3 linked regions of the Pelodiscus sinensis genome follow. The protein of the gene in region 1 purifies or fractionates together with the protein of each later gene. This does not show direct contact. Links are inferred from orthologs where the notes say so. Each region holds a gene or a part of one and is shown on either strand. Other genes may lie near its edges.

Evidence for each region.
Region 2: the proteins of DNAJC7 (region 1) and STIP1 purify together in Homo sapiens (affinity purification with mass spectrometry; 4 studies listed by BioGRID and IntAct, with this or other methods). This does not show direct contact. The link is inferred for Pelodiscus sinensis from reciprocal best matches to the Homo sapiens genes DNAJC7 and STIP1.
Region 3: the proteins of DNAJC7 (region 1) and MLF2 purify together in Homo sapiens (affinity purification with mass spectrometry; 3 studies listed by BioGRID and IntAct, with this or other methods). This does not show direct contact. The link is inferred for Pelodiscus sinensis from reciprocal best matches to the Homo sapiens genes DNAJC7 and MLF2.

Annotation. Positions count from the first base shown.
Region 1 is NC_134739.1:9,682,662-9,691,983, reverse strand, and holds the start of DNAJC7 (dnaJ homolog subfamily C member 7), read right to left. Parts: upstream 4,515-9,322; 5' UTR 4,444-4,514; coding exon 4,361-4,443; intron 1-4,360. UniProt on the Homo sapiens protein: Acts as a co-chaperone regulating the molecular chaperones HSP70 and HSP90 in folding of steroid receptors, such as the glucocorticoid receptor and the progesterone receptor.
Region 2 is NC_134721.1:33,439,578-33,449,689, forward strand, and holds the start of STIP1 (stress-induced-phosphoprotein 1), read right to left. Parts: upstream 4,696-10,112; 5' UTR 4,549-4,695; coding exon 4,540-4,548; intron 1,146-4,539; coding exon 936-1,145; intron 1-935. UniProt on the Homo sapiens protein: Acts as a co-chaperone for HSP90AA1. Mediates the association of the molecular chaperones HSPA8/HSC70 and HSP90.
Region 3 is NC_134711.1:138,444,143-138,454,591, reverse strand, and holds the start of MLF2 (myeloid leukemia factor 2), read right to left. Parts: upstream 4,063-10,449; 5' UTR 3,988-4,062; intron 3,948-3,987; exon of another isoform or gene 3,661-3,947; intron 3,652-3,660; exon of another isoform or gene 3,266-3,651; 5' UTR 3,243-3,265; coding exon 3,193-3,242; intron 2,986-3,192; coding exon 2,859-2,985; intron 1,752-2,858; coding exon 1,716-1,751; intron 1-1,715.

The sequences.
Region 1 (9,322 bases):
GCCACAAGAAAACGGTTTCCTTGGTCTAGAAATATTTTTTTAAAAAGCTCTACTTGTATGGATATGCTGATCTGTGATTGGATCAGAACACAGAATTTTAGCCAATCAGAATGCAGCTGTTCAACAATAACTGTCACTAACTGTACCATCAGATAAAATTAGTGCACTTACATCAATCATTTTCCATTAAGTATCTCTGGAATTTATGCAGCAGAGGCAACCATTATCCTGTGACCATATTCCATTCCTGCCACTGATAAGTCTCTTAAACAACCTGCAACTGACACATTCAGTTTATCTGCAGTTGTTTCAGTACAATGGCAGACCAATTAAGCTGAAATACAAATCACTGCTTTGCTAACGTCTTTTTTTTTTTCCCTCCGCCTTGGGTGAGCAGAAGCAGGCATCAGGGATCATGTTCATACACTTGGCAAGGTTAGTCTAAAACCACAATGTCATTGTCCAAATAATTCACACAGGTTGCCGGGTGGGTTTTTCTAAATAGGAAATTTACCCACATACTCTACAAAAGCTGTAGTGAAAACCTCAGGTTCTGAGGGCTAGTCTAAGTCCAACAATGCTTAGCCTTTACAACGCACAGCCAGCCTGTGGAACTCTTTGCCAGAGGATGTTGTGAAGGCAAAGAATTAAAAAAGAACTAGATAAACTCATGAAGAATAGGTCCATCAATGGCTATGAACCAGAATGGACAGGGATGGCGTCTCTAACCTCTGTTTGTCAGAAGCCGAGAATGGGCAACAGGATAGATCACTTGGTGATTACCAGTTCTTGTCCATTCCCTCTGGGGCACCTGGCATTGGCTGCTGTTGGAAGACAGAAGACTGGGCCAGATGTACCTTTGGTTTGACCCAGCATGGCCATTCTTATGTTATTACAGCACTTTGCATGGTACAACAGGCTTTACAGAGATCTGCTAAGTCTTCAAATAATTCTCTGTGAGGCAGCTGAGCAGAATCTGTATTTTACAAGTGGGTAAACTAGGCCAAAGAACTTGCTCGAACCCAGAAAGGAGCTTCATGGCAAACAGAAGATTAACCAGGAAGTTCTTGATCACAAGTGCTGCCCTTCCATCCCTCAATCAAATTAAAAGAAAGGATCACCCCAAAGGGAAAAATAAAGCCATAAACTGTAATGACCCAGGACTGAGGTACTGTCCCTATCCCATCAAGATATCTGAGTGAACTATGTTGCTTTTGCTCTCCATTCCCAAGGTTCTATGTGGAGTGGGCCAGGAACCAACTCTCCTACTAAGGATGTCAGAGTTTTTCTGTTTCTGGGACTCCTGAGTCCTTTCAATGGGGATCATTTTATTCATGACTATTTCATTTCCTGTAGGTGCCTTCTGCACACAGGTAGAGAGGAGAAGGTTGGTGCCAAGAGATCTCTGTAGTAGGAAGACTAAGCCCAGTTCATGGTTTTTAAATGTTGATACTTTTAATATTTAAAGTAGTCATTTTAAAGCGAACAAAGCCCTGGAGAGAATACTTTAAGGAACAACCTTACATTAGCCACAGGAAGGCTGTGGATTACATGAAACTTTGTAGGGCTTTCCCAGTACTAAGAATTTCTGTAACTCTGTGACACTTGGATCCTTTATGTAGCATTGAAGTGCCTTTTCTACAACGTGATTTATATATGTAATTAACACCCTCAAGGTGTTACAAATACTTCCGATGCCACTGCCTTGGCCTCACCCTTTGAGAGCTAAGCAGCAGCAGTACACATATCACAGGCCGCCCTTTTGAAACTGGAACTACTCCAAGGTACCTTTCAGTTTCATTTTGCCTTCCTGCATCAGTGAGGTGAACCCCTCTCTAGAATGACAGGCTCTGCCACATCCTATATGGGGTGGTATTCCCCCCCGGAGACATCCGGCTGCTGAGATTCACCTGCCTGTTTTAAACACTTGAACTTAGCACGGTGTTTCTTAAAGGCTGATCTTTAAATTTCATCCCCTGCTGTGACTGCAACAGCACAGCAGCAGGTGGAGATAAAAGCACTTGCTCTTGTAAAGAGAATTCATTACCAGAGGAAAGGGCTGGGATTCTCACCACACCACACCTCAGACGGTATCTGCACCACAGGGCAATATTTCCCAACTAGCTTTAGGCACGAAGCTGATTTGGTCTTTCAACAATTACTAACCCTGCCTTCAAAACATAGTGTACTTTGGAGAACCACCATACCCAGAGAACATTTTGACACAGGACAGGTATCTGAGAGCAGGACTCTGAGTGTAACTTGCTCCACGCTATCAGACATCTCCAACAGTAACTGTTCTGTACAGGTAGGTGCAATTGTAACTGTGAAGTCCTCAGGCAATGGAGTTAGAGAAGGGAAAAGGATCTGAACCACCTTCAAGGGGTTTGAGCCATGAGGATTCCCCCTCCACACCACATACAGAGTTTAACCCTAGTCTTGGGATTCTCCAACTTCACAACCGTGACCCCCTTCTGACAACAAAAGTTACTATGCAACCCCAGGAGGGGGACTGAAGCTTGAGCCCCATGGTCTGGGGGAGGAGGGAGACAAAGCTCCACTGCCCCATGGGGAAGGCCAAAACTGAACCCCAAGGCCTTTAGTCCCATGCAGAGGGCCTGTAAACTGAGTCCCACTACCTAAAGCTGAAACCCTCGGACTTTGGCCCCAGGGCAATGGGTCTTAAGCTTCTGCTTTGGCCTCAACCAGTCTAAGTCAGCACTTTGGGGTCCTGACCCCCAGTTTGAAAATGGCAGTGCTAATCGATACTGCCTCTGGGCAGAAATGATAAAGACGGGAGCATGCTATCCCCAGAGCAGTCCTGTCCTGAGAGAAGGACACAAAACTCTCGGAAACCCAGAATTACTGCCTATCAGTGTTTTGTATAGCACCCATCACGGGCACTATACAGTAGGCTGGGGTTTCTATATGGCACAAGATTTGGCCAAAAGACCACTGCACCTTTTCTGTATAATAGACCACAACTGGAATCACCCCTGCCTTTAACACAGAGGCATGTCTGGCAAAGGCCAGAGCTTAGCATCTGACATACAAGCCAAACCACCCTGAAACAAAGCATCACATGCTGGGGGCTGTTGGCCATGCTCCCCAAATCTGGCATAGAATCATAGAATAATAGGACTGGAAGGGACCTCGAGAGGTCATCGAGTCCAGCCCCACGCCCTCAAGGCAGGACCAAGCTCCATCTACACCATCCCTGACAGATGTCTATCTAACCTGTTCTTAAATATCTCCAGAGAGGGAGATTCCACCACCTCCCTTGGCAATTTATTCCAATATTTGACCACCCTGACAGTTAGGAATTTTTTCCTAATGTCCAATCTAAACCTCCCCTGCTGCACTTTAAGCCCATTACTCCTTGTCCTGTCCTCAGAAACCAAGAGGAACAAATTTTCTCCTTCCTCCTTGTGACACCCTTTTAGATATTTGAAAACCGCTATCATGTCCCCCCTTAATCTTCTTTTTTCCAAACTAAACAAGCCCAAGCATACTTATTAAAGGGCAGAAGGGAACTGAATTGTTGAACTTCCCTGACTCCACTGTGAACCCCCCCTGTTCTTCAGGGCTGAAATCAATTCTGCAGAGTCAGGACAGTAAGTATTAAGCATGTATCTGCTGCCATCTGCCTTCAGATTGGTCCAGTGAAACAGCCCACCATAACCTTCTCCCCGGTTACTGATCAACCATCCATCCTTGTTCATTATACCGTAATCTCTATGGTGCAGGGATTTACAGCCTGGACACTGCCGCCAGGGCTGGGTGCACTAGAAATGCCCAGACGGCATTCCTTGGGAGTTACCCGTTATAAAACCCCCAGTAGGCCCAGGGGGTTATAGACATGGCAAGGTATAAAAACCATTCGGGCTATGGCGGGGTGGGGGGGAGAAATGCATCTTTAGCTGGTAGGTTCACCCCCGACCCCCCACCCACTCAGCTTGAAAGGGGGGTTCCTGAACGATCACCGGGGTGAGCGGCATCTGCACAGAGCATCCTTGTGGGGGGGGGGTGTCACAGGGGCACCCCCCCATCACCCCGCCCGAGGGGGCGGATTTCAACAGAAGGAAGAGGCGGAGGGAGGGTTGATAACCTCGGGGGCCAGCGGGGCGGGGGCGGGCTGGTGCTGCGCTCCCCCCTCCCCCCCCCCATAGTGCGGGAGGGGGCCGGGGCCCTGAGACACCCCGGAGCTGGGAGGGTCACAGGGCCGCGAGGGGGGGGGGGCTGGGGCTGAGAACCCCCCCCCACCGGGCCCCACTCCCCTCCCCCACCCCAAGGGGCCCCGACCCCCCCTTCAGTCCCTCCCCCGGCTCTCTCCTGAGCCCCCCCCCCGGCGCCCCGCTACCTGCGAGTCTCCTCCTCGCCGCCCAGCAGCCCGGCTCCCTCGGCCGCCGCCATGATCACATCGCACTCGGCCGCCGCCGCCATCTTACAGCCGGGCCGGCAGCCTGGGGAGGGGGAAAGAGAGGCGGCGGCGGGGGGAGGGGGGGAAGCGGAAGCGACACCGACTTCCGGGAGCAAAGAGAGGCCGGCGCGGTCCGTCAAGAGGGGCCCGCCGCGGGAGGGGCCACCGAGAGGGCGCTTGAGGGGCCAGAAGGGCCAATCTCCCAGGGGGGAGCCTTGGCCAACTTGGGAGGCTGGAACGGGGGGTTGGCCTGGCCAGCTTGGGGGATGGGGGACCCGGACCCTGGCCAGCCCGAGGGTGAGGGGGAGCCCGGGGGAGGGGGTAGAAATACGTGGGGCGGGGAGACCTGGCCCGCTTGGGGGATGGGAATGAGGGCCCCCTGGACCAGCTTGGGGGATGGGAATGGGGGCCCCCTGGACCAGCTTGGGGGATGGGAATGGGGGCCCCCTGGCCAGCTTGGGGGATGGGAATGGGGACCAGCTTGGGGGATGGGAATGGGGGCCCCCTGGACCAGCTTGGGGGATGGGAATGGGGGCCCCCTGGACCAGCTTGGGGGATGGGAATGGGGACCAGCTTGGGGGATGGGAATGGGGGCCCCCTGGACCAGCTTGGGGGATGGGAATGGGCCCCCCCCGGCCAGCTTGGGGGATGGGGGGAGCACTGACCAGCCTGGGGTGATGGGAGGCACCTTGCCCAGCTCGGATGAGCCCAAACTTGGCCAGCCTGAGGGGAGGTGCTGGGGGGGGGGACCCTGCTTGGGAGGCAGCAAGGGAGCCATGATGGTGACTTATAGAGGGCACCTGAGATTGGCACAACATGGAGCGACGATGGGTGCGAAGTGACAGTGGCCATGAGGGCCCCCCGGCAATGCAGCATGATGAGCTCTTGGGGTTTGTTCAGCACCCGGCACAATGCATCCTGATCCCCCAAAGAGCCCGCCTAGGTATGATTGTCACACAGGTGATAATAAATGGCTATGAGAATGTGGTTGTAAATAGTGAACTGCCATGCTAAGGCATCTTTCTGCTAAACCCCTGTCACATGGCACCCAACGGTCACCGTAACCACATCAACAGATAATAGTCATGTAAAAATAATTGGCTTCCTAAACATTTAGCTGTGCCTATGCCTTAGGCCAGTGGTTCTCAACCCACAACCCAATCAGCACATAACTACGGCCCACGTGACATCCCCCTGGGCTGTACAAGTAATATATCTATTATGCAGTTGCAACCCACATAACACGGAGAGAGTTGCACATGCAGCCTACAATGGTAAATAGGTTGAGTCTGTGGTATTTCCTACTTAGGACCTTCGGCAAAAGAGACCTGTGCAGGTGGACTCCTGCTGCCCCACAGAGTCTCATTAACTCCAGTGGGGATCCATGCAGGAGAAGGGATCAGCCCATGCGGGTCTCCTTGCAGGATTGTGTTGGATTGCATGTAGGTTGTGCACTCTCTAGGCCAGGAGATGTGTCTTCACTTGCTTTAGCGGTTGCCTGAAGCTTCTCCAGGTGCTTGATGTATAATTAAAAAACATTAATCATCATAATGTTGCCTTTTAAAAGCCATTTCTTGCTTTCTCTCACACCAATGGCCAGATCTGAGCTAAGGTCATCTCAAATATTCTTAACGCTCGGTGGGGGTTAAACCGTCACTCTGGATTTCAGGATATTTGCAGCCGGAAAGCTTAGCTAGCTTCATAACCATCTGGAATCTCAAAGAAAAGAAGATCAGGCTGGTGGGAGTGGGGGGAACTTTCCCTCCATATTTTCAGACATGCTATGTAGCTCCACTTCCTTGCAGCTCTCCCTGCTGTGGCGAGTGGGGGGAGGGGAAAGGGGGAGCCTGAACCCTTCTGCTAGCCCCAGCTTGCCCCAGGCCCCACAGGCTAACCTAAGTATGGGGAACAAAATACAGGACTATGTAGCACTTTAAAGACTAACAAGATGGTTTATTAGATGATGAGCTTTCGTGGGCCAGACCCACTTCCTCAGATCAAATAGTGGAAGAAAATCGTCACAACCATATATACCAAAGGATACAATTAAAAAAAATGAACACTGGTATATATGGTTGTGATGATTTTCTTCCACTATTTGATCTGAGGAAGTGGGTCTGGCCCACGAAAGCTCATCATCTAATAAACCATCTTGTTAGTCTTTAAAGTGCTGCATAGTCCTGTATTTTGTTTCAGCTACACCAGACTAACACAGCTACATTTCTATCACTAAGTATGGGGGACCATTCTGTCCATAGGACGATTGGGGTGGCTGCTGTGGGCCCCGCTCCCCCCAATGCACAGGGCCCGGGGTGGCCGCATCAAATCGTTCTATGGATGGGATGGCTCTGCACACATCTCTCCTGGGCCACAGGGATGCAGCGCTAGCAGCGAGGAGCTGCTCTAGCCTTGCCGTGCTACTGGTAGCGGCACCGGAACCCCTGTGGGGGGGGGGAGGGTTAAGTTGCCCAGAGATGGCAGACAGTGCCGGGGGATGCATGGGAGAAGAGTGCATAGACTAGCAGCTGGGACCGGGAGACACGTGGGGGGTGTGAATGTGTGGAGACTCCCCCCCGAACCCTGCTAGAGAGGGGTGCCTGCTGACCCACTAGGTGGATTTGAGGACTGGCACTGGCTCCAAGGTAAAATGAGTTTGAGACCCCTGGTTTACAGTTTGGTTCAATGGCTCTCAACACCCCCACTATAAAAATTGTTCCAGCACACTTTGCTTTAAAATAGGTGTGATTCTAGTGGCAATTAGTTGCCTTAAATTTCCTTTTTGTGTGTGTGTGTCATATTTGCACCAGGGCGTGGGAGGACTGGAGGAAGGGGACAGGTTTCAGGAGAGCCCCACTTGAGTGGAACATGAGGGCTTCTGGCCTCCCAGCTGGGGGTCAGGAAGCCACCAGATAAGCACAGAAGAAACATCTCTTTCCTACAGCTCGGCTGGGCAGTTGCATCTTCAATGCGAACAAAACAATTTGCAGGGTCTCCTCCCTGTGAAGTTACAAAGAACATGGGGCCACGGATGAGCCATTGGTGTGAATCTGGAGTTAGATAACAGGTTTGGTTTAAAGTCTCAGACTGGTGGCCCTGTTAGTCAGTATCTTAAAAAATGAGGATTCCTGTGGCACCTTAGAGACTAACAAGTTGATTAGGGCATATGCTTTCGTCAGTAGAACCCACTTCATTAGATGATTGACCCTTTTTCTTTTGCTTCAGAGGGGTAGCTGAGTTAGTCTATACAGGATAAACTTAAAAATCAACAAATGGTCTGGTAGCACTTTAAAGACTAACAAAACATAGATGTATCATGAACTTTCATAGACACAGCCCACTTCTTCAGATGACTGCTGAAGAAGTGGGTTGAGCCCACAAGAGCTCATGATACATCTACATGTTTTGTTAGTCTTTAAAGTGCTACCAGACTATTTGTTGTTTTTTAAGTTTATCCTTTCTTTTTGTTATCCATGTGTGTGTATATATATATATATATATATATATATACACACACACATCCCCGCCTCTGTAAACTCCACTTCAACTCATCTGATGAAGTGCTTTTAACCCACAAAAGTTTATGCCCTAATACATCTGTTTGTCTCTAACGTGCCACAGGACTCCTCGTTGTTTTTGCAGCTCTGGTGTGTTTTTTGCAGGGTACTGAGCCAGCCTGGTCGGCCTCTCCTGAAAAAGCAAGCATTGCACAGCCTGTTTTCTGCAGCTCTAGGTGGTGCTGTCCTGTGGTTAGCAGGCTCTCTCTCCTCTCCTTTGCTCCCTCTTGCTGTCTCCCTGATTGCCCCTTCATTGGTCGGGATGTGAGTCAGTTAAGCCTGCAGTTTTCGGAAGAGGAAAGCAGAGACAGACAGCTGTCCTGAGAAGGTAGGTAGAGGCCTCCCTCCTCAGAGATTTACTGTGCCATCTGGATGGGGGCAAAGAGGGAGATACATGATACATAGATGCTTAGAGGCTCCACACAAGAGCCAGCTGCCTCTGGGAGTCCAGCCTGACAGCTGGGCTCATTAGCATGCCCAGGCTGCAGTGAGGATCAGGGCCTGGACCAGTCTAGCCCTGTGCTGCCCCACTCCCCTGCCTTGCAGCGATTGCAACCCCCCTACTTCCAGCACCTTCGTTGGTTTGTTCCTGAGCCGAAATCTCAAGGAGCATGCATTTGCACAGAAGGGGGGGGGGGGTGTAGAATAGGGGGAATGCAGGATATGCCATCAGTGCTCCCCAGCGTGGATCACAGTGGCTGTGTCTAGACTGGCAAGTTTTTCCGCAAAATCATCTGTCTTGCCAGCTGTCTACACTAGCCATTTGAATTTCCGGAAAAGCACTGACGATCTTCTGTAAGATCGTCAGTGCTTTTCCGGAAATGCTATGCTGCTCCTGTTCGGGCAAAAGTCTTTTTCCGAAAGACTTTTGTGCAAAAGGGCCAGTGTAGTCAGCATAGTATTGTTGTCCGCAAAAAAGCCCCGATCACGAAAATGGCGATCGGGGCTTTTTTGTGGAAAACCGCGTCTTGATTGGCCACGGACGCTTTTCCGCAAAAAGTGCTTTTACGGAAAAGCATCCTGCCAATCTAGACGTGCTTTTCCGAAAATGCTTTTAACGGAAAACTTTTCCCGGAAAATCATGCCAGTGTAGACGTAGCCAGTGTGTGTGTGGAAAGGGGGGCTTATGAGATAGAAAAAACCTAGTGAATCATTTCCTAGCCCAGTGGAAACTGAGCCCCAAAACTATTCATGGAGGCAGGAGAGATTGGTCCCTCTTTGGGAGATGGGGAACGGAAGTACTGCAAGGTGAAGAGACTTGCCCATGGCCACCCAGGGAGCCTGTGGCACAGCTGGGAAGTGAACCCCCATCTCCTTAGTCCAGTGGCAGACCTGCACAGTTGATTTT
Region 2 (10,112 bases), on another chromosome or scaffold:
TTCATAGCTTATGTATCTCTGAGGATCTGTGACTCAGTTCCCAGTGACAACCAACATGACAGACAACACACAGAACAGCCACAAACATTTCTCCCAGAGACTTGAAGCCATTCTGATTGAAGAGAACCTCTTCAGGATTAAACTCAAGACACTGAGGTTCAAGTTTCTACACCAAACTATGTGATGTTGGGCAAGTCAGTCTCTTTGTGCCTCAGTTCCCCATCTGTAAAACAAGGTTAACAGCAACTGCTTTGCTCACAGTGGGACTGCATATTAAAGATTGAGATAACTGTGTTAAAGAATGCAAAACCACTAAAGTAACAGAAACTACACAAGTACATGAAACAACAAGCTGGGATTTTCCCAGAGTTTTAAGATATTTAGTCACCCAACTCCAGCTCCTTTGAATCTCTCTGTCAAAAATCAAAGGGATTTCTCTTGAAGTATATTTTTAGAGCAATGAGGTTTCATTTATTCCTGGTTTGAACTATGAAGATAACATGATTATGTTGTGGTACAATACAACTTTTCCTGCCATATATGGCTAGGGAGAGCCAGGTGGTAGCCATATTTTAACTCCAATCAGCACCTACAGCAAACCATGACTCTCCAATGACTAAGATCTTAAGGCACAAAGTCACTATTGTGATCAGCCCTTCTTAACATCAGCCCTAACATTCAGTTCACAAGCAAGACAACATAGCCCAGTGGTTCTCAAACTTTTTGGGCACCGGAGCCCTTTACATGCGTAAAAATTTATGCGGAGCCCCAGTGGTCCACTGATTGTACATGTTGTACCTATCAATGTTTCCAGTTTGTCAATCTCGCAGAGCCCTTGGAGAGGTCTCTCAGAGCCCTGGAGCTCCGTGGAGCACAGTTTGAGAAACACTGATGTAGCCTAAGACCCCGAAGAGAATCTAGAGAAGGACCCTTACCTTGCCCCACTCTGGCTTCAGCTCAACAGTTTTACAGGCATCATCCAGCGCTTTCTGGTACTCCCCTTTCTTGGCGTAAGCTGCAGATCTGTTGCTATAGAGCACATGGTTCTTGGAATCTAGTTTTATTGCTTCTGAATAGTACTTGATGGCTTCTGCAATGTTGCCTGCACTCAAGGCTTTGTTGCCTTTCTCCTTCAACTCGTTCACCTATCAGAGAAAGGGCAAGAGTGAGCAATGGATTAGCATGATCAGCTATGGGTGGAAGTGTCAAAGGAATCCTCTTGCCTTGGAATTATCTTTCCCAACTCACTGCATCACTTGCAGGAAAGTGACTTTAAAGAGTGCTCCTTGTTAATGTCTCGAGTCCTGCTCAAGCAGCAGCTGCTTAGAGTCTTACTGCTAACAGCACTTGGGATAGGAAGAATAATTTTTCACTAGAAACCACTTATTCAATACTTACTTGATGGGAGACAATGCCTCCTTTAACAGTCCCAGAAACATTAATATAAGAGCAAGATATGCATCTTGACAGCAGAAATTCAATAAGAACTTGGATACTGACATAGCTGTTACATGGAAGTTGTGCAATACCAAAGGACTCCAGATTCCTCAATAAGAGGTCTGTGAACACCCCAAATCACAGACAGCAAGTCTATCCCTCTCAATTCTCACCCAGACAGCTAATTCTCCCCTTTCAGGACCCCGCTTGGGTGGAATTCTCCAACATGACTGATTCAGCTAGTTTCATAAACAAAGGCCAAAAAATGTCATCTGCTTCTAAGATGATGCAGCTTGGGCCATTCGGTCCATCCGGAGTCAAAGGAAATCTAGCTGTGATTTAACCACCCAGCTCAAATACTCCAAAGACCCAGAAGTCACCAGGCAGGTAAAGTCTGCAGATGTGACTTCCCTGCAAGTGTGAACTGATGGGGATGCAGTACATCACAAAAACCCAGCAACTGCTAGTGAGATGTCTCCGCCAAGGGAAGGCAATCATTGATGAGTCACTTCAACAGCACATCAGGTAGGAACTCTAATGAGCTCCCTAGGAAGTCTGCATACAAAATTTGCATTTTTCTCAGCCTATTACTTCCACTCTCCAAGTACTTTATAACCTGAACTCTGCCAGTACAAACAGAAGCTTGTCCCAGTTACATCAAAAGTCTCCCTTCTACAGGGAGTGTTAAGATGGCTCCCTAAAACTATTACAATGCAACTCCTTTTTCAGTACTGATGGGGCCTGAGCAATAATAGATCTTTAAATTATATGCCATGAATAGCAAAATAATTACTACCTCTAAAAACTTTTGAAGGATCACCCTATAAAGTGCTACCAGACCATTTGCTTACTGGTTTTTTTTTCCCCTGTAACAGACTAACTCAGCTACCCCCTGAAGCTCCCAAATTAGCTGACAACGTAAGAGCCTTACTATTTGGGGCAGAAGCATGAATAATCAAATTTTAAAAAATACCACCACACTTTACATTCTATTTTAATTTTCAACAGGGATGTTAAAATGATTAACCAGTTAAAACTGTTTCAACCTAAGTCCCACATTGGTTCTGGGATACTGCCACTTTGCTAGCTGGCCTCTCCAGGTACAGCTGGCAAGTTAACTCCAGAGATGGCAAGGGCCTGTTAACCAGTAAGCCTGACCATTTACTGTTTAGCCGGAAAATTAGTGAGTGCCAGGGCTCAACAGCTCAGAGATGATGATACAAACTAAGAACTTTTCTCCCCGCCCATTTTAGAACTGGATTTACACTCTGACACAAGCCATATAAGTAGAGATAATTTTGATGAGCTTCATTCCAGTTCCTAGCCAACATTTGTATGGAATATATAATACTGCAATACCTGGGCATTTTTGCTCAAGCCAGAAAGCAAGACAGAAATGAAGACTTGCAGAGATAAATCAGGAGTTATGCCTGCAGGGGTGGAGGCAGGAGGAATTCCTTTTGTGAAGCGGGGAGGAAGTTGGGATTGACAGGCAACAGCAAAGCTGTGAGGGGTGGAATTTAGTACTTGGACAGTAGGAAGCTGCATGTCAGGACTGAGGAGCATTGACAAACACAGGATATGAAAGTGTAATGTGCAAACTTTGTTTGCCTGTGTGCAATGATGAACAGGTATTCTGATACAGAGGCAGCAGCGTGGGGTGCAGGCAGGAGCCAGTACATATGGAGAGCTGACTCTGCACACAGTAGCTCCTGAGGAGCTGGCTGCCACTCAGCGTGTAACTGCTGAAAATTTTACACAGTTACTTTATTACACCCATTTTAACATCCCTAGTTGGGATCTTGTAGGTCAGGACTTTAGGGCACTGGCAATGCTGTGCTTGTGTAGGAGACTCACATTGCCGTCACCCATAGTATACCTAGGCTCTAGCAAGGATAAGCACCTCAATTACATTAGTTCCATAGCAACGTACATTTTAAACTAAGACGTGAAGTTAACAAAACTGCTTTACTCCAAGATAAAGCAGCTTCCTCAAGTCAGTGATCTGCTATGCTTCAAGAAGCAAAGTCAGCTGAGCAGCCTTTACCCATACCAAAGCGACAGGCCCTCTTCAAATGGGACAAGCAGAAGGGAGATTCTGGTGACAATTTTTTGTATTATGCCACCTGTACATCTGCTCCAAATGCTTCCTCGATTGAGAATACTCCAGGGTCTCCTTACTGCACCTTAATAGGCTTTGTTTAAGCAGCAGGTCAGCTGTCTGTCTACAGCCGCCATCTCCAGCATTAGAATGCAATACATAGTTCATAGTTGCTTGGAGACCTCAACAGCTACTCAGCATGAACAGTTACTCCTTCCTGGGCATGCCTTCTATTGCAGGGGGATGAGGCAAGGGAGACTTCTGCATGCACATGCAAAAGTGAGGCAGAAAATGAGAAGATGGTACTTACATCCCAGCTACATATCTCCAGACAGCACACTGAACCTCTCTCTCACACACACACACAATCAATCTTATACATTTTGTTCACATTCAATGCAGATTCCCTGTGCTACCTACTTTACTAGCCAGTCCATCTCTTCGTGCTCCCCTTTTTAGCTCCGAGGAAACCTCCTGCCCAAACCACTCTATTTCCTCCCGCATGCCTGCTTCCCAGAAACCCTGCTACCACCAACTTCTAGGACTCTCGGCTACCTCGTCTCACACCTGCTCCACTGCCCCAGACGGCTCTGCAGTAGCCTCAGAGCCCAGCCGCCCTCTCCCGAGTGGTCACTTCAGTAGGCACGTTCACGTCGCTCATTCGGGCACTCTCATGCAATCAAGGTAAAGAGAAGCGATAGGCGGAAAGGGGGGGTGTCCCTGCCCAACCAGCGCGGGTTAACACACAGCTTCGCCCCGTCTACACGAGGGGGCTAAAACGCATCTGGCAGCACGCTCCCTCCAGACCTTTGCACCTCTTCGAGGCAAAGTCGCCTACCCCGGGCCCTCCCCTGCCTGGCTTCACCCCACCCCGCGCTCCTGCCCCCCAACTCCCTCCCCAGGCGCCGTCCCTCGTAGCTGTCACCTCCTGCCCCAGGCTGCAGCTACCCCGCCCGCCAGCACACAGCCCAGCTCGCTCCTTGGCAGGCCCGGCCCTTCACCTTCTCCATGGCTCCGGCTCGGGGCCCAGTTTTGCGGGACGCTGCCGGTTAAGTCTCCTCCGAGCCGGCCTACCCCGTCTCACGCCGCCTTCTGGAACCTGCTAGAAGCCTCCTGTATCGCCCTCGCCGCCCCATTGGTTGGTACGCGTCCGGGTCCCGCCCCCTCAGTGCCACCATAGATTAGAAAGGGTGTCGCTCACAGGCCGGGCCTTACCTATTCTCCGCCTCGGTAGCGCCAACAGGGCGGGATTATTGAGATTCGCATAGGGATACGAGAACATAGATGTCAATTCGCAACTAGCCCCGCCTACCCCGCGTCTCATAAGTCTGGAGGTATGCCAATCAATACGCCCCGCGAAGAGCCTTCCTTCTACCCGCCCTCACTGTGATTGGATCTCAACCTAGGACCACGCCCCCCGCCCTGCCCATGTGATTGGCTAGCATCTCTAATACTCTCAGCAATCTTCAAAATCCATTGGCCTGGAGACCCCTCGTGATTCTAACGGCCGTGTCCATTGGTTAGAGACATTTCTGGAATTTTCCATTCGTTTCATTGGTTCTGAGGAACAAGGTGACGACATGCGAGGCGCTATGTCCTGATTGAGCGGAGCGGGTCTACGTCATCATCGCTTCCTTATTGGGCGACTCCAAGAGTTTAAAGGAGGGACGTTCTGCTTGGTGGGGGCTGAGCTGGAGTTCCCGAGAGGCGGTGTCTGCGCATGCGTGTAAGAGAAACACATTTGCATGTGCTTTCCGTGGCCCCTAATACGGTTGGGTTTTCACGCGTGCGTTGTACACACTCTGCTGGAGAAGGTTGTTTGCATGTAGCTTGCACGCCCCAGGGAGGGGAGCAGGCTCTGTGGTTGTGGTCCTACTCCTTCGCCCAATCCATGTGTATTTTTCTCTTGTTTTTTTTTGCACCCTGTACCTGCCTCATCTTTTGTGTGCCTGTACTTACTGGGGAGCACGTGCATGCTGCAACAGTGTTTCTCAACCTTTTTTAATATGGTACTCCTTAAGAAAAATTATATGTACCCCCCCCCCCCCAGTACCTACAGTTTTCAGACTCACAATTTTTTTTCTATTATTGCAACACATTTGTTTAAACAACTTAATCGTAGCTGGGCAGGCAATGCAATTTTTGGGTGTAAAAAGTACAAAAAGAATAAAGTGCTGTAAAACTTAAAACAAAAATTCAATTTTCTTCAAATTTCAGTTGTGTTGATGTACTCCCCGGACTTCTCTCAAGTACCCCTAAGGGTACTTGTACCACTGGTTGAGAAACACTGTGCCATAATATAGCAGCGCTATTCCAGTCCCACTTGCCTGGAACTATTAGGCTACGTCTACACTGGCCCCTTTTCCGGAAGGGGCATGTAAATTTCACGAGTCGTCGTAGGGAAATCCGCGGGGGATTTAAATAAAAATGTCCGCCGCTTTTTTCCGGCTTTTAAAAAAGCCGGAAAAGAGCGTCTAGACTGGCCCCGATCCTCCGGAAAAAGTGCCCTTTTCCGGAGGCTCTTATTCTTACTTCAAAGTAAGAATAAGAGCCTCCGGAAAAGGGCACTTTTTCCGGAGGATCGGGGCCAGTCTAGACGCTCTTTTCCGGCTTTTTTAAAAGCCGGAAAAAAGCGGCGGACATTTTTATTTAAATGCCGCGGGGGATATTTAAATCCCCCGCGGATTTCCCTACAACGACTAGTGAAATTTACATGCCCCTTCCGGAAAAGGGGCCAGTGTAGACGTAGCCTTAGTCTTTGCCAGAGTTTCGTTGTAAATAAATGAGTGCAAACATTGTGAGTCTTAGAATTTAAGCAACTATCCCTTGGTACAAACTGTATGAAATTTGTATGTCATGGTGGCTGACTATTGTGACTAGTGTTCCCTTTAATGTTTTCCATTCATGTGCAGAATAAAACTTTGTGTGTGCTGAGGCATGTGCAAATGTGTACCACCAGTAGAAAAAAACTCACTCTGCTAATCACTAGGTGGCATTCGAATTTCTTATCAAGAACTGCTCAACCACACAGTTTACAGGAAACACTGATTGCAACCACATGCAGTGTTCTTGGAGAGTCTATTGTAATACATTTATGAAAGTTTAGCTTATTATTTTGAGGAAGGAATTGTACACAGTTCTGTGGGGTATCTCAGCTAATACCAGGATCAAAAAACAGCTATAGAAATTGTAACCAGCTCCAGAAAGAATAACACTTGGGTGGTTTCCATGTATATACTGATCCATAGACTAGAAAACAAAGACTTTGGGTATCTAAAAACTGAGTTTGGAGAGTCTTGGGAGTCTTCTTTTTGATTAAATAGATGGACAGGATCTTGGCTCCTAGGGAAACCTCAACCATCCTTGCTGAAAGGTTTTGACTAGGACTCTATAGCTACGCCTTCACTACGGCACTATTTTGGGATATCAGAAATATCCCCAAATAGCTATTCCGCATCTTTAAAGCAGCCCATTATTTCAAAATATTTCAAAATAACAGGTACACTATTCTGGTGTTCCTGTAACCCTGGTTCGATTAAGGTTAAGGGATGTTTTGGAATAGTGCTTTATTTTGAAATTTGGCACTATGTAGAAATAAGCTCTTTTGAAATTACCTCAAAATAAGCTGCGCAATTTGCGTAGCTCATTTTAAGGTAAGGGTGCAGTGTAGACGCACCCTATTAAACTGATGGGTGATGTCTATCGCGTTTAGTAAACCTATATGGAGTTTTACTGTTTGTATTTGTGTGCTTTTTTCTTTTGGTTGTTAAAATGTACTTTGCTCAGAAAGACCTATGTGGTCACACTCATAAAAACACTAAGGTCTAGCCTTCAGGCAGAATGGCTGGCTGGGGATATTACAGTGTATGGGGAGGATTCTTCAGTGCAGCCTTAAAACTCTAGGGCTAAGTCTACATTGCCACTTTACTGCGCTGCAACTTTTGGCTCAGGGGTGTGTAAAAACACCCCTCCTGGAGCACAGGAAGTTATAGCACTATAAAGTGCCAGTGTAAATGGGCTCCCAGCACTGTTAGCTGTTCCCTTCCTGGAGATGGTTTACATAGAGCAGTGGTCACCAGCCAGTAGATTGGGACCTACTGGTAGATCTTGGAGCCTCTGACAGGTGATCCTGACTGGTTTGGCCACGTGGCTATCAAGTGCCAGCACTTCAGCTGCCTCTTCTCCTACTTCTGCACATCTCCTGCCCTTTACCTTGGAGCTGTTCTCCCAGGAGCCTCCTGTTTGCTGTGCAGGGCAGGGAAGGGAGAGAAAGGGTGCTGATGTCAAGGTGCCCCCTTCTCCCATCCTGTATTGTATTTCCACAGAGCAGAGAGGGGGCACAACAGGACTTGGGATAGAGCAAGTTTGCTGGCTGCTTCTGGGAGTGGTGCAGGGCCAGGGCAGGAGTGAGCCTGCCTTAGCCCCACTGCACCATCACCCAGGAGCCACCTGAGGTAAGCAGTGCCCAGCTGGAGTCCACAGCCTGAACCCTTACCCAAGACATGAACCCCCTTCCTGCCCTAGCCCTGACCCCTCTGCATCCAAATACCTTCCCAGAGCCTACATTTAGAACTCCCTCTGGCACCCCAACTGCCTGCCCCAAGGTCAGCTCAGAGCTCCTCTCACACTCCAAATCCCTTAATCCAAGACCAAGCCTGCACCCCAATCCGCTGCCCCAGCTGGTGAAAGTGAGTGTTGGGAGGGAGGAGGATGGAGTGAGCAGGGGCAGGTCCTCAGAGAGAGGCAGGGCAAGGAGCACAAAGGAAGGGGGGCAAGGATATTTGGGTTTGAGGTAGATCTTGGATTGCACTTAAATTCAAAAAGTGATCTTGTGTGTAAAAATGTTGGGGACCACTGATATAGAGCTCTCCTAGTGCTCTAGATGTGGCCTCACTTTCAGTTTAAAGCACAGTGCTGTCATGACTGCGCTTTAATTTTTAGAAGTGTAGACAAAAGCTATGTCTACACTTGCAATTTATCAACAAAACTTTTGTCATTCATGGGGCGCTTAAGTACCCCTTTCATCATGAACAGACAGTTTTGCCGTGGCAAGTGAAAGTGTGAATGTTGCTTTGTCGGAAGGAGCACTCGGCTGTTGACAAAGCAAAACCTCCTATTTGGGAGTAGAAGTATTTTGTTGACAAAAATGCCAATAAACAGCATTCACACATGCTCACTTTTAGTGACAAGGCTGTGTCAACGCAGCCTTGTCACTAAAAGCTGCGTAGTGTAGACATACCCAAAGAGCCTGAGCCCTGACTGGCCACTACTGGAGAGACCACACAGATAAGGAATACAGGTGCAGCTACCCTGAAATGGTGACACATGGCATGGAATGGTATGCAAAATGGGTATTAGGTGCTATGGTATATATGCTACAATTTTGGTAAGAGCAATGTACAGCAAAGAGGATGGGTTACATAATTTTTGTGCACTTGTGTATTTCCCAGGATATGATTTTTGTACATGGTGCACATGCTTTGCGGGATGCTCCATATACACAAGTACCTTTGCAAGGATTCAACTCCCTGCAGCAATTTCACTCAGTGTGACCCCGGGGGTTTACCTGATGTCATATAATTGCAGGGTGTTTTCCTCATTGGGCACAAATCTCAGCTGTTTCACAGAGGAGTTTCATGGTGGGAAGCGCCTGCAGAAGCTGCAGTGCAAACTTCTGGGCTGCTTTCTGTAAAACATTTGAAGGAGCTGATGTGGGGGAGGAGGAACTGGAAATCAGGAGCCAGGACTCTTGGGTTCTATTCCTAGCTCTAAGGAGAGGTGGTCTCATGGTTAAAGCAGGAAAGGTCTGAGAATCAGGCCTCCTGGATTCTATCCTTATACCTCACTCCTTTTTAGAGATAATGGTTATAGCAGGGGGGTCTGGTACTTAGGACTTCTGGGTTCTGTCCCTAGTTGTGGAAAAAAAGTGGAGTCTAGTATTCACGGGGTGCAGATGGGAATCATGATGCCTGGTTTCTACTCTGCTAGTGACCATTTTGCTGCGCTGTGCCTCATTTTCCTGAGAGGGGGGAATAACACTGATTTATCCCTAGGGAGTTTGCAAAACTATAGATAGTTGTGAAGTGCATTTTAATTCTGCAAAATAAGGACCAATAAGCAGTTTGTGGTGATAAATGCAGAACTGAATCTTTAAGTCTTGTTCTAAGACCTGCAGATCTTAATTCAGGGGTTCAGGACATAAAAGAGGATGCCCTGCTCTTTAGATAGCATGGATCTAACTAAAGCAACCGCCCCGGAGACTAGCAAAAGGCCATGTCTCCCAGCAAGCGACATCTATGTTTTCTGGTATGACTAACACTGCTAAATTTAGTAGGGTTGCCAAGGCACCCTGCACATTCAGGAGGCAAACATCTATTTATAGTGAGGAAGCTACCATACTGTGCTGTTTAAACAGCCCACGTGCGTGTCCCCTTTGCAAATAAATGATTGCGTTTTAAAAGTAGCATGTCGTTTCCTGCCTACAAACAGCTTGAAGGTGGGTTGAGAACCAGTCATTGAAGTTAAATGACAGCTTGTTTTGCCTGGGATTCTGGGAACTGTAGTTTGCAATGCT
Region 3 (10,449 bases), on another chromosome or scaffold:
ACCGACAGCCCCCAGCTTAAACCTCTCCAGCACATCATTAATAATCTACCACCTATCCTGGAAAACAATCCCTCACTCTCACAGGCCTTGAGAGACAGACCAGTCCCTGCCTACAGGCAGCTCCCCAACCAGTAGCAAATCCTTTCCAGCAGCCACACATCATATACACTCACCCCTGCAACAAACCCTGTTGCCAAACTTGTTAATGTCTTTGTTTAGGCCCAGGGCAAGGGTGTCAAATCTGTAGATAAATTCCAGTTCTGCAGACTCTCTCTGTAATTGGTTAATGAAATTCCTTTGTAGAAGATGGCTACTTTTAAATCCAGGAGTGAGTGACCAAGCAGGTTAAAGTGTTCCCCTATAGGTTTGTGTTACCATTTCTGAGGTCTGATTTGTGTCCATTTATCCTTTGGTGCAGACACTGTCCAGTTTGGCCAATATACATGGCAGAGGGGCATTGCTGGCACTTGATGGCATAGATCACATTAGAGGAGATGCAGCTGTATGAGCCCCTGATGTCGTGTCTTATGTGGTTAGGTCCTGTGATGGTGTCCTGCCATTAACATCTGCATTTCCACATCAAAGTATATGTATGAGACACTTAATTAGCTTCATTAACATGGGTCCTATAATTGACAGATACTTCTGCTGCATGTGTGCATGTAGTAAAATCTCTTGGTTTCTGTTATTTCCACTCCAGTTCACCTGATGAAGTGGGTTTTGCCCATGAAAGTGCATGATTCTACATATTTTGGTTAGTCTCTATGGTGTCACAGGACTTCTCATTTTATGTAACCTATTATTCATTCCTTCCCTAACAGAAACAGTAATCTCGCTTCATATGAAAATCTTTAGGTTTCCAATGACTTTTGCCACCCATGACTGAACTCCCTCTATTCCTGCTATGTCCTTTCGGAGAGAGGGTGACCGGGGGGGGGGGGGGGGGGGGGGAAGGAGACAGTGTTCCAGGTGAGGGCATCCCACTGATTTATGGAAAGACATTGTAATAGCTCAGTTATTATTTTCCGTCCTATTCCTGGACATGCTAATGTTTTGTTGGCTTATTTTACAACCATTACCCATTAAGCAGAGGTTGTCATTAAGACTCTTTAATGGTATCCAGGTCTTCTTCCTGAATAGTTAATAGTCCCCAGCTCAGATTTATTACCTGCCCTTGGAATCCAAGTCTCAGCCTTGCCCCCCTCTGAGCTCCAGGCAGCTTGCTTGGCAGGTGGGTTGCAGGGTCATACCTAAACAGCCAGAGTTCCGCCTGCTCTTCCCATTTGTGTATTTATTCGTTGTATCACAGAAGCAACTGAGCTTAGGGTTCAACTGTGCAAGATTCTGTGCAACCATTTAATAAGAGAAACTCTACTCTAAACAGACTGAAGGGGGCACAGAAAAATAAATTGACCTCAGAAAGTCAGAGGGCCAGTGAAAGCTATGAGTCAAGCCCAGGTTTCCGACCCACTGGCCCACACCGTGTTAGGGTCTTTTCCTATGATCCGGGGTTTGCCCCGATGTCCATGTTCTTTCCCCCTTCCCAGTATTGTATTTGCCGACACGCTCACCTAGAGGTGGCTGCATCGCAGCACTGCTGATTATTTGGAGCACCTGAAGAACTTGGGGATAAAGTGACCTGTTGGGGGGCTGTAAATCTGGATGTTATGTTTTGGGGAAGGCCCCAGAGCTGCACAGAGAAATTGAGGCCTTACCATTCCCAACATTCCAAAGGGTGAGATGGCTCCTGCCTGCAGGGAGCAAAAAAGAGAAAGAAAAGTTAGCAGGGACTCATCCTTTGTCCATACTCAGGACTCCTTCCCCATCACAGGAAATAGAAAGAAACAGTCCACCAAGTGGCCAAATGATTTAACAAACACTGTCTCTCAAACTGCTGCATGCTCCTCCACTGCACTTAAGGTATAGGCTGGGGGAGAAGCGACACCTTCAAACCTCTTCTAGTGAGATTAATTTTGGCCAAGGGCAGGCACACTTTTTGGCCTGAAGGTCACAGCAGATATGGAAATTATATGAAGGGCTGAGAAGGGTAAAGGCTGTAACTCCCAACTCCTGCCTGATGCTCACCTCCCACACCCATCCAGCTCCCCAGAACTCCCTGCTCCTTATCCAGTCTCCCTAGTTCTCCACCCCTTGACCAGCTCCCCAGGACTTCCTGCCCCCTATCCAACTCCCACCACTCCATGTCCCTTGACTGCCCATCACCTATTCCACTCCCTCGTCCCAGCTCAACACCACTTGACTGCTCCCCCATGACTCCCTGTTCCCTATCCAACCCCCCAACGTCCCACCCCTAGGACCTCTTCCCCCATCCAACCCTCCCTGCTCCAACCCCCACCTTGACTGCGCCACTCAGCCGGAGCTACAGCCATGCAGCCCAGAGCATTAGAGCTGGTGGCACAGTGACCACACTGCCAGGAGTTGGGGGAGTTGAGGGGACAGAATGGGAGATATTAGGAGCTAGCTGCCCCTGCTTGCCCCCCTACTCAGGAGTTAGTCTAGCTCCTTCTAGCAAGGCTGTTATGACCCATTCCATAGTAGGAGCCTGGGGGTGAACTGAAGGGTCAGTGGAGTCAGAAGCAGCCCATGGGTCGTAGTTGCCCCCTCCCCCCCTCTAATTTAAGCTCTGCAAAACGGCACTTGTCCTCCATCACCCCAAGACACTAATGCTCTGCAAGACAGTGGATTGGAGGGAAGAATATGAAGTAAAAGAAATATAACAGCTACGTTTTAGGGGACTAGTTTTCCTTCCCCCACTTTGTGCAAAGAGAACTGCCCCATCCTAACCATATGGGAAGTCACAGGGCAGATTCTTCAACTATACTCAGCATCCCCTTTACCTGCATCCTGCGGCTGGCCTGACGTGCCCCAGGCATGGTCCCATCAGTTATGCTGAGGAAGGGGCTGTATGCAAAGCCTCCAGAAAGCATGCGGTTCATATGCTGACGGTGAATAGCAAAAGGGTCCCTGCAGGGGGTCAACAGGAAGAGGAAACCTTAGGAAGCAAAGTCCCAGGTACCCCACCAATCTTGACTCCTTGACCTAACCATGACCCTACTTCCCTCTGAGAGTGGAAAATACAATCTGTGAGTCCTGACACCCAGTCTTCCCTAATGTCATCTACTTGGACCCACTCCCACACCAGACAATACATATTTGGAGTTTCATACGCACATTGCAAACATGGGGTCCTCTGGCTCCCCATCCCTCATGAACCGGAACATGCTTCCTTCGGATCCGGGGAGGGCTGTGCAGAGAGGGAGCCTGGATGAACACAAGCAAGCCGGGGGACACAGGGCATGACCCCCTCTGCCTTCACCTCAAGAGCACCCACGAGGCCGTGCAGCCCTGCTGATAGCCTCAGGCCCTATGCAGAGCGACGGCCGCAGACGCCTCTGAGAGGGCGGCTCAGCCAATAGGAGCCATCGCCCCAAACCACCGCTCCCGGATCTGGCGTGTAACCCCCGCACCGACCTCTCCCGCACCCCTGCGCCCAGGGCCGGGCCGGGCGCCCCCGTTCACACGGGGCTAGGCGGAGGCACCAGGCCGTCCCAGCGCGGACACAAGCGCCGCCGCCCTGCAGCCAGCGCCCGCGGGCAGGCACGAGCCCCCGGGACCCCCGCGCCCCGCCCGCGCCCCTGCCTGGCGGGGTCCGCCGCTCGCCGCCGCCGCCCTTCCTCTGCCGCGGGCTCCAGGCAGCGCCGCTCAAGCCCGCGCGCCCATCCAGCCCCGAGCTGCCGCGGCCTGGCGGGGGGGCCGGGGAAGGAGCCGCCGGGAGCGCGCCGCCAGCCGCACCGGGGCCTGGCCAGGAAGTGAGGTCGGGCCGGGCCCGCCAGCGCCTCCCCGCGGCCGCAGCGCGCAGCGCAGCCCGGCCCGGCCCCAGCGGCGCCGCGGGCGAGGGGCCGGGGAGCGGCGGGGGCCCGGGCCGGGAGCGGGGCGACCACAGAGGGCGGGGGCGGGGCGCGATACCCGTCGTGGCCCCGGGCTCCTTTGTTGTGAGGCTGCTCGGGAAATGGCTGCCGGCAGCCTGGCTTCGGCGCCGTCAGCTGAGCGGGGAGGAGCCGGCCGGCCGGCGCGCAGTGCCCGCGGGGGGCAGCAGGGGTCGCCCTCGCGCCGCAGACCGGGAGCCGCGCGGCTGGGGGGGGGCGGCGGAGGCGTCGAAGGGCCGCGGCGGGTTTCGGGCTCCGCCTCCCCGCTGCTCCGTGGGGCTCCTCCCTTGGGCCCAGCCGGGGCGAGGGTCTAGGCCAGAGGTGGGGTGACCCCTTGGGCCCACGGCTGCTCCGGCCCGGCCAGCGCTGCTCTGCAGTTCCCGCACCTGTTTGCCACCTTCTGCTGCCTGGGCCCCCAGGGCCTCCAGCACTGACTGTTGCTTCTGCCTCTTACTGCTTCCTGTGCCTGCTGGAGGGTGCGCCCAGGGACGGCAACCTCCTCAAACCAAGGCACCACGCTGCATCCCAGTTCAGAACTAGTGGTTAACAAAGAGTCCTATAAGAATGCCCATTTGCAGGACTGAAAATACACAATATTGATAACTGGCATGATGCTTAATAACAGCATAAATGAAACACTGCACTCCCAGACTTTATTTAAGGGGACTTCTGCTGCTGCTGGGGGTGCAGATTGTGAATGTGAGGCTGCAGGAGTCAGGGTTGAGGTGTATGGGGGCTGGGGTGTGTGGGAGGTGCAGGAGGCAGGGCAGGGTGCTGGGGATGGGAGCTGAGGCTGGATTACTTTACCTGGCAAGGGCTGGGCTGCAGCACTGGGGCAGGCTCCCCCCCGCCTCATGCCACAGCAGGAGTGGGGCTGCCACTAGCCCTTCCTGCAGCCAGATGTGGGCTGGACTAAAGGGCCTGCCCTAGGGTCAGGGCTAGGGCCAGATAGAGGCTGGACCCCAACTGGTTCTTTGTTGGCCAGGCCTCATTTTATATAAAGTAAAATATGTCCAACACAAAAGGTTTCAACATTTATCTTTATTTATGGCAGGGGTGGGGAACCTTTTTTGGGTCTGTGGCCATTGGCCCACAGAAAAATCAGTCAGGGACCACACAAGTGAGAAGTTTAAAACAAAAACCCACCCTCCAAAACCCCCCAACCCTCACTGATGTGGCACCCAACTGAAATATCTCACATCTTACTCACCCAGTGCTCCAGCCCCATGGGGGAAGAGAGGGGCAGGGAAGACTGAGGTTCAAGGCCTCAGGCCAGATATTCTCTTCTGGAGTTCCAGGGTTAGTGGATTTTGTGGCCTCTCCTAGACTTTGAGGTGGGGCCAAAAATGAGGTGTTCAGTGTAGAGGACAAGGCTGCCAGTGAGTGGGATAGGGATGGGGATGCAGGATCTGGGCAGGAGGTGGGGGTGAGGATGGGAGGTCTGGGTGAGACATGGGGATGTAATAGTGTAGCTGATTAACCTTTTAACCAATAAGCAAAAGCTTATAGGTTAATGCTATAGACCAGTGTTTCCCAAACTATGGGCTGCACCCGATACCGGGCCATGGGAAAAAAACACTGGGCCACAGCATGGCTGCCGGGAGGGGGGCAGGGCTGGAGGGCTGAGAGGAGGTGTGTGTGGGGTGCAAACTGGCCGCCAGGAAGCAGGGTTGGGGGCAGTGGGACTGTCCAGCGGAGATCAGGGTAGTGTGCGTGGGGGGGGGCGGCCGGCAGAGATCGGGGTGGGGGTGGGTGGGTGGGCTGCAGAAGCAGGGTTGGGGGCAGCGGGGCTGTACCGCAGAGATCGGGGCGGGTGGGCAAGCGGTGGAAGCAGGGATGGGGGGGCTGGGGGAGATCGGGAGGAGAAGTGGAGGAGCGGGGGGGTGGCGAATCGGCTGGCAGGAAGCAGGACTGACCCAGGCACATGCAGACCCGGAACACTAGTGAGTCCAGCCCTGGGGATTCCATTTTGCTCCTCCTCCCCATATCCTCCCTCGAGTGGTTGCGAACTGCCTGGCTGGTAGACACACACAGCATGAGCACATCTACCAGCCAGGCAGTTCACAGCTACGGACTGATACACCTAATAATAATAAAACTTACCTAATTAGAAAATACCGGACATTTTATATGTCCAGTATTTTCTCAATTTGTTTCCCAGACAGAACCCTCAAATACCAGACTGTCCGGTACAAAACTGGACACCTGGCAACCCTACCCCACCTTGCACCCTCCCTCCTAGCCAGATACCCTACCCCCAATCTGCTCCTGCACCCACCTAGAGTGCCCATGGGGTGCCGGGTCTCCCAACCCCTGGCCCATGCTGGGCGGAGGATGCAGCTGGGTGAAACACTGAAAATTTATTCATTTTTAATTTTTTTTATATGCGTTTATATTTTTGGGCTGTAAAAAATAGTACTGAAAAAAAACGGGTTCCAACTAAAGTAAAAAGTTTGGGAAACCCTGGTCTAGCCAGCTTTCTATCCATCTTACAGTCCATTTATCCAATCGATATTCCCTTAACTTGCTGGCAAGAATACTGTGGGTGACCATATCAAAAGCTTTGCTAAAGCTGGCATTGGGGGCTTTGGGAGGACCAGAAGCAACTTATTTGAATATTCATCATTTGCTTAATGAATATGCAAATATGCAAATGCATGTTACCGGTCCTCCAAAAGCCCGTGAATGGATTTACTGGTCCCCATGTCAAAAAGTTTGGAAACCCCTGCTATAAACTACATGCATTTCCCTCTCCCTCTCCCCCATGTCAGTAATTTTTTTAATAAGCTGGCCAGCAGCCAGCTCAGTGCTGGCTCATGCCGGGTCCAGGAGCTCAGACCCCTTTCCCCACTGATGGGCTCTGTATTCAAAGCAGCAGCACAGGGCCACAGGCATCCAGTCTACGAGGGGAGCTGGTTTATAAACTGGCTCCCCTTGTGGACCAGCTCCTGCCTGGCACCTTGTGCTGCTGCCTCTGATACAGAGGCTGCCAGCTCCTCTCCCAGGGACTATAGAATAGTCAACTAAACAATAAAAATTCATGAGATTACTTGAATATTCAATTAACCAATATTTAACATCCCTAGTGGGAGGTAGGGTGCAGGAGCAGGCTGGGAATAGGGTGTCTGGTTAGGGCCACACTAGAAGATATACCTATCTCATAGAGCTGGAAGAGACCTTGGGAGATCATCAAGTCCAGTCCCCTGCCCTCATGGCAGGACCAAGTACCATCCCGGATGGATTTGCCCCAGATCCCTAACTAGCCCCCCCTCAAGGGTTGAGCTTACAGCCCTGGGTTTAGTAGGCCAATGCTCAAACCACTGAGCTATCCCTCCCCTCCAGGGAGGGGCAGGAGGAAGGGAGGATGCAGGAGCAGGCTGGTGGTAGGGTGTCTGGCCAGGAGGGAATGTGCAGGAGCAAGTGAGGGTGTAGAAGCAAGTTAGGGGTGGATAGGGTGTCTGGCCGGGGGGAGATGCAGCAGCAAGGGAGGGTGCAGGAGCAGGTTGGTGGTAGGGTGTGAAGCCAAGGGGGAAGGTGCAGGAGCAGATAGGTGGTGGGGTCTGTAGTGAGGGGGGAGGTACAAGAGCAAGGGAGAGTGTAGAAGGAAGCTGGGTGTGCGGGATCTCAGCACAGGGGACTGGTGGTGCAGGGTCTTGGCAGGGTAGTGAGTGTGGGGGCTGGGGTTCAGGGGTCTTGGTAGGGCAGTGAGCAATGTTCCTTCTAAGGTGTGCACCTACGAAGGCACGCACCAAAAATTTCAGTCCCACCCACCTCCTCAGCAGAGCCACACAGCTGTGGTTCCAGCTATTCCTGGGGGTGGGGCCATGTGGCGGGTGGCTGCCCCGACCCAGGAACAGCTGGGCGGCCACCACAGCAGCTGGGAGCTGGAGCTTGGGCCACAGTACTAAAAATAGCACCACGGCCGAAGCTGCAATTCCGGCCCTAGCAGCGGCCACACAGCCATGGGCGTAGCAGCTCCTGTGGGCGGGGCTGCATGACGGGTGGCTGCCCCATGTTCCAGGACTGCTGCCGGGGCCGTGGTGCAGCTGCTCTTGGGCCATGGCGTTGGTGCTAAAAATAGCACCATGGCCACACCCGGGTGCAGCCATCACACAGCCCAGGCAGAATGCGGGAGTCCCGGGCTGCAGCAGATCTGCTGGGGTGAGTCCCTGGCAGCAGTGGAGGTTAGTGTGACACGGGCAATGCTCCAGTGGCCAGAGCCATGTGGCGGGAGAGGGACTGCTCTGGGTGCCGCAGCTGGAGCTGGGCCACAGTGAGGCTGTGCACCTTGTGCACATGACCTCAATATTAGGGCGCAAGACAAAACTCATTCCGCTCACAGATGGAAAATCTTAGAGGGAATATTGTCAGTGAGTGCTGGGAGTAGGGTTGCAAGGTGTCACCAGGGGGCAAGGGGATGGGCGTACGGGAACTCAGTAGGGCAGTGAGTGAGAGGAAAGGCGGTGTGGGGTCTCGGCAGGGTGGTAAGTGAGGGTGCAAAGTCTTGGTTTCAAGGATATGGAGGAGCACCTACTTGCTTTCACACCACTTCCAGGCATGGCCTCCCGCTGCTCCCATTTACCGGATTCCAGCCAATAGGAGCAGCGGGAAAAGCCTCCAGGAAGCACATCCCTGTGCTACTGTTACCCCAGATGGGAGAAGGGAAGCAGCACACAGAGCTGTTTCTAGCTCTGGCTTCTTCCCCACAAACTGGATCTGTCTGGGAGGGTTGGGGCTTTTGCCTGTCCCCTCCATTTGCAGGAAGTGGGTGCTGGTGGTCCAATCTTGCAGGGGCGGGCATGAGACTGGAGTGCCAGTGCACGCTCCCTGCTGCGGGGGATGTGAGGGTGGGCTGACCTCAAACTACAAAAGAGCCATATCTGGTTCCCTACTAAGCCACATTTGGCTCCAGAGCCCTACGTTGCAGACACAAATTAGCCTTTTCCCCCTTCCCGTCTCTCAGCTGTACAGACTCCGGCAAGACACATGCACTGTCTCACAATTGCTGCTATCTTCTTTACCCAACACTTCTGAATTTGCTTTGGGCACTAGAACTGGACACATTGTTGTGCACTGGTTGCACCAGTGCCAATTACAGAGGTAAAATAACTTCTTTGCTGCTATGAGTGATTCCCATTTATGTCGTCTACCTACCATTTTGATGTTCTCTGTATCTGGCTGGCATCCACCACCACCCAACAATCTTACCCTTCCTCCCCCACTTCTCAGATCTTTCTCTCTGCAGTTAGCTGAATGTGACACACATGGCACACATCACCAGATCTTTTCATTTTGAAAATCTGGTTGCCCTGTATGATTGGGGGAATGTTCAGACAACAAACTCTTTTGGCAGAACAATAAAGGAGAAGGTAGGGGCTAAATGTATCATTTGACTTAGTGACTTCCCAATGCAAACCCAAAAAGACCATTCAAACCAATTAGCAAGTGGTGTTTTATTTCAGCACTTTCTCTTTGTTCATGCTAGCAGGATGCAGCCTCCATGAAAACAGGAACAAGACCAGAAATCTGGCCTGAACGGTTATCACAGCATGATAGATGTATGGATTAACAAAACTTAAAAAACAAGGTTCCTGTAGTGTCTCTCACTCAAATGCTCTTGTGTGACCACTATAAATTCGCTCTCTCCCAACACTGGGGGTTTGCCACAATCTCACTTTAAAATGGGATGTCAGGCTTTCAATGGTTTGTGCCTGTATTTATAAAAATATATTAAAAGTTATGCAAATCTTAAACTCTCCTGGTTTTTTGTTCCTTAGGCTGGATGGTTTTTATTGAGACATTTTTGAGTTGTTGCTGAGCAAGTTAAAAGACTTGAAATATGTCTTAAAATATTCAACTTTGTGTTTTCACTCAGAAAACAGTTTGAGCTAGCCCCAAATCTGCAAAATTACAGCAACAAATACATCAAATCACCTCAGGAGGGAAAAACCTCAAGGACAGCTAGAGACTTAACAGGAAATGTACAAGTGTGTGTCCACTACCATACACATGACACATATGCCTATATATGCATGTATCTACACAGGGCCATTCCTGGGGTAGGGAGGCCTGGGGCATACCCCATCAGTACTGTAGGCTTGGGACCCAGGGCACCACACCTTGCACAGGCCCCACCCCTGCTTCACCCCTTCCCAAGCCTCACCTGCTTCTCCGACATCCTCCCCATTCCCCTTGCTGAAGCCCACTCCCCCAAGCAATGCGAGCCACTGGGAGGCTGGTGTGGGACAGCAGCAGGTGTTTCCCTCCCTGCTCTGACTCCAGCAGTGGGAGCTGGAGCGGCCCAGCAGCCTACTCCATTCACTTTCTCCCAGCCTGCTTTGCTTGGCGTCTCTGCAGCAGAGGGAAGTAGAGCCCCCTTGGGTTGGGGCTCTCTGCATCCTACTGCTACAGTGAAGCTGAGCACAGCAGGTTGGGAGAGGGGGGCAGGGCAAAGCCGGCTGCCCAGTAGCTCTGGCTTCTGCTGCTGTGATTAGTGGGAGTG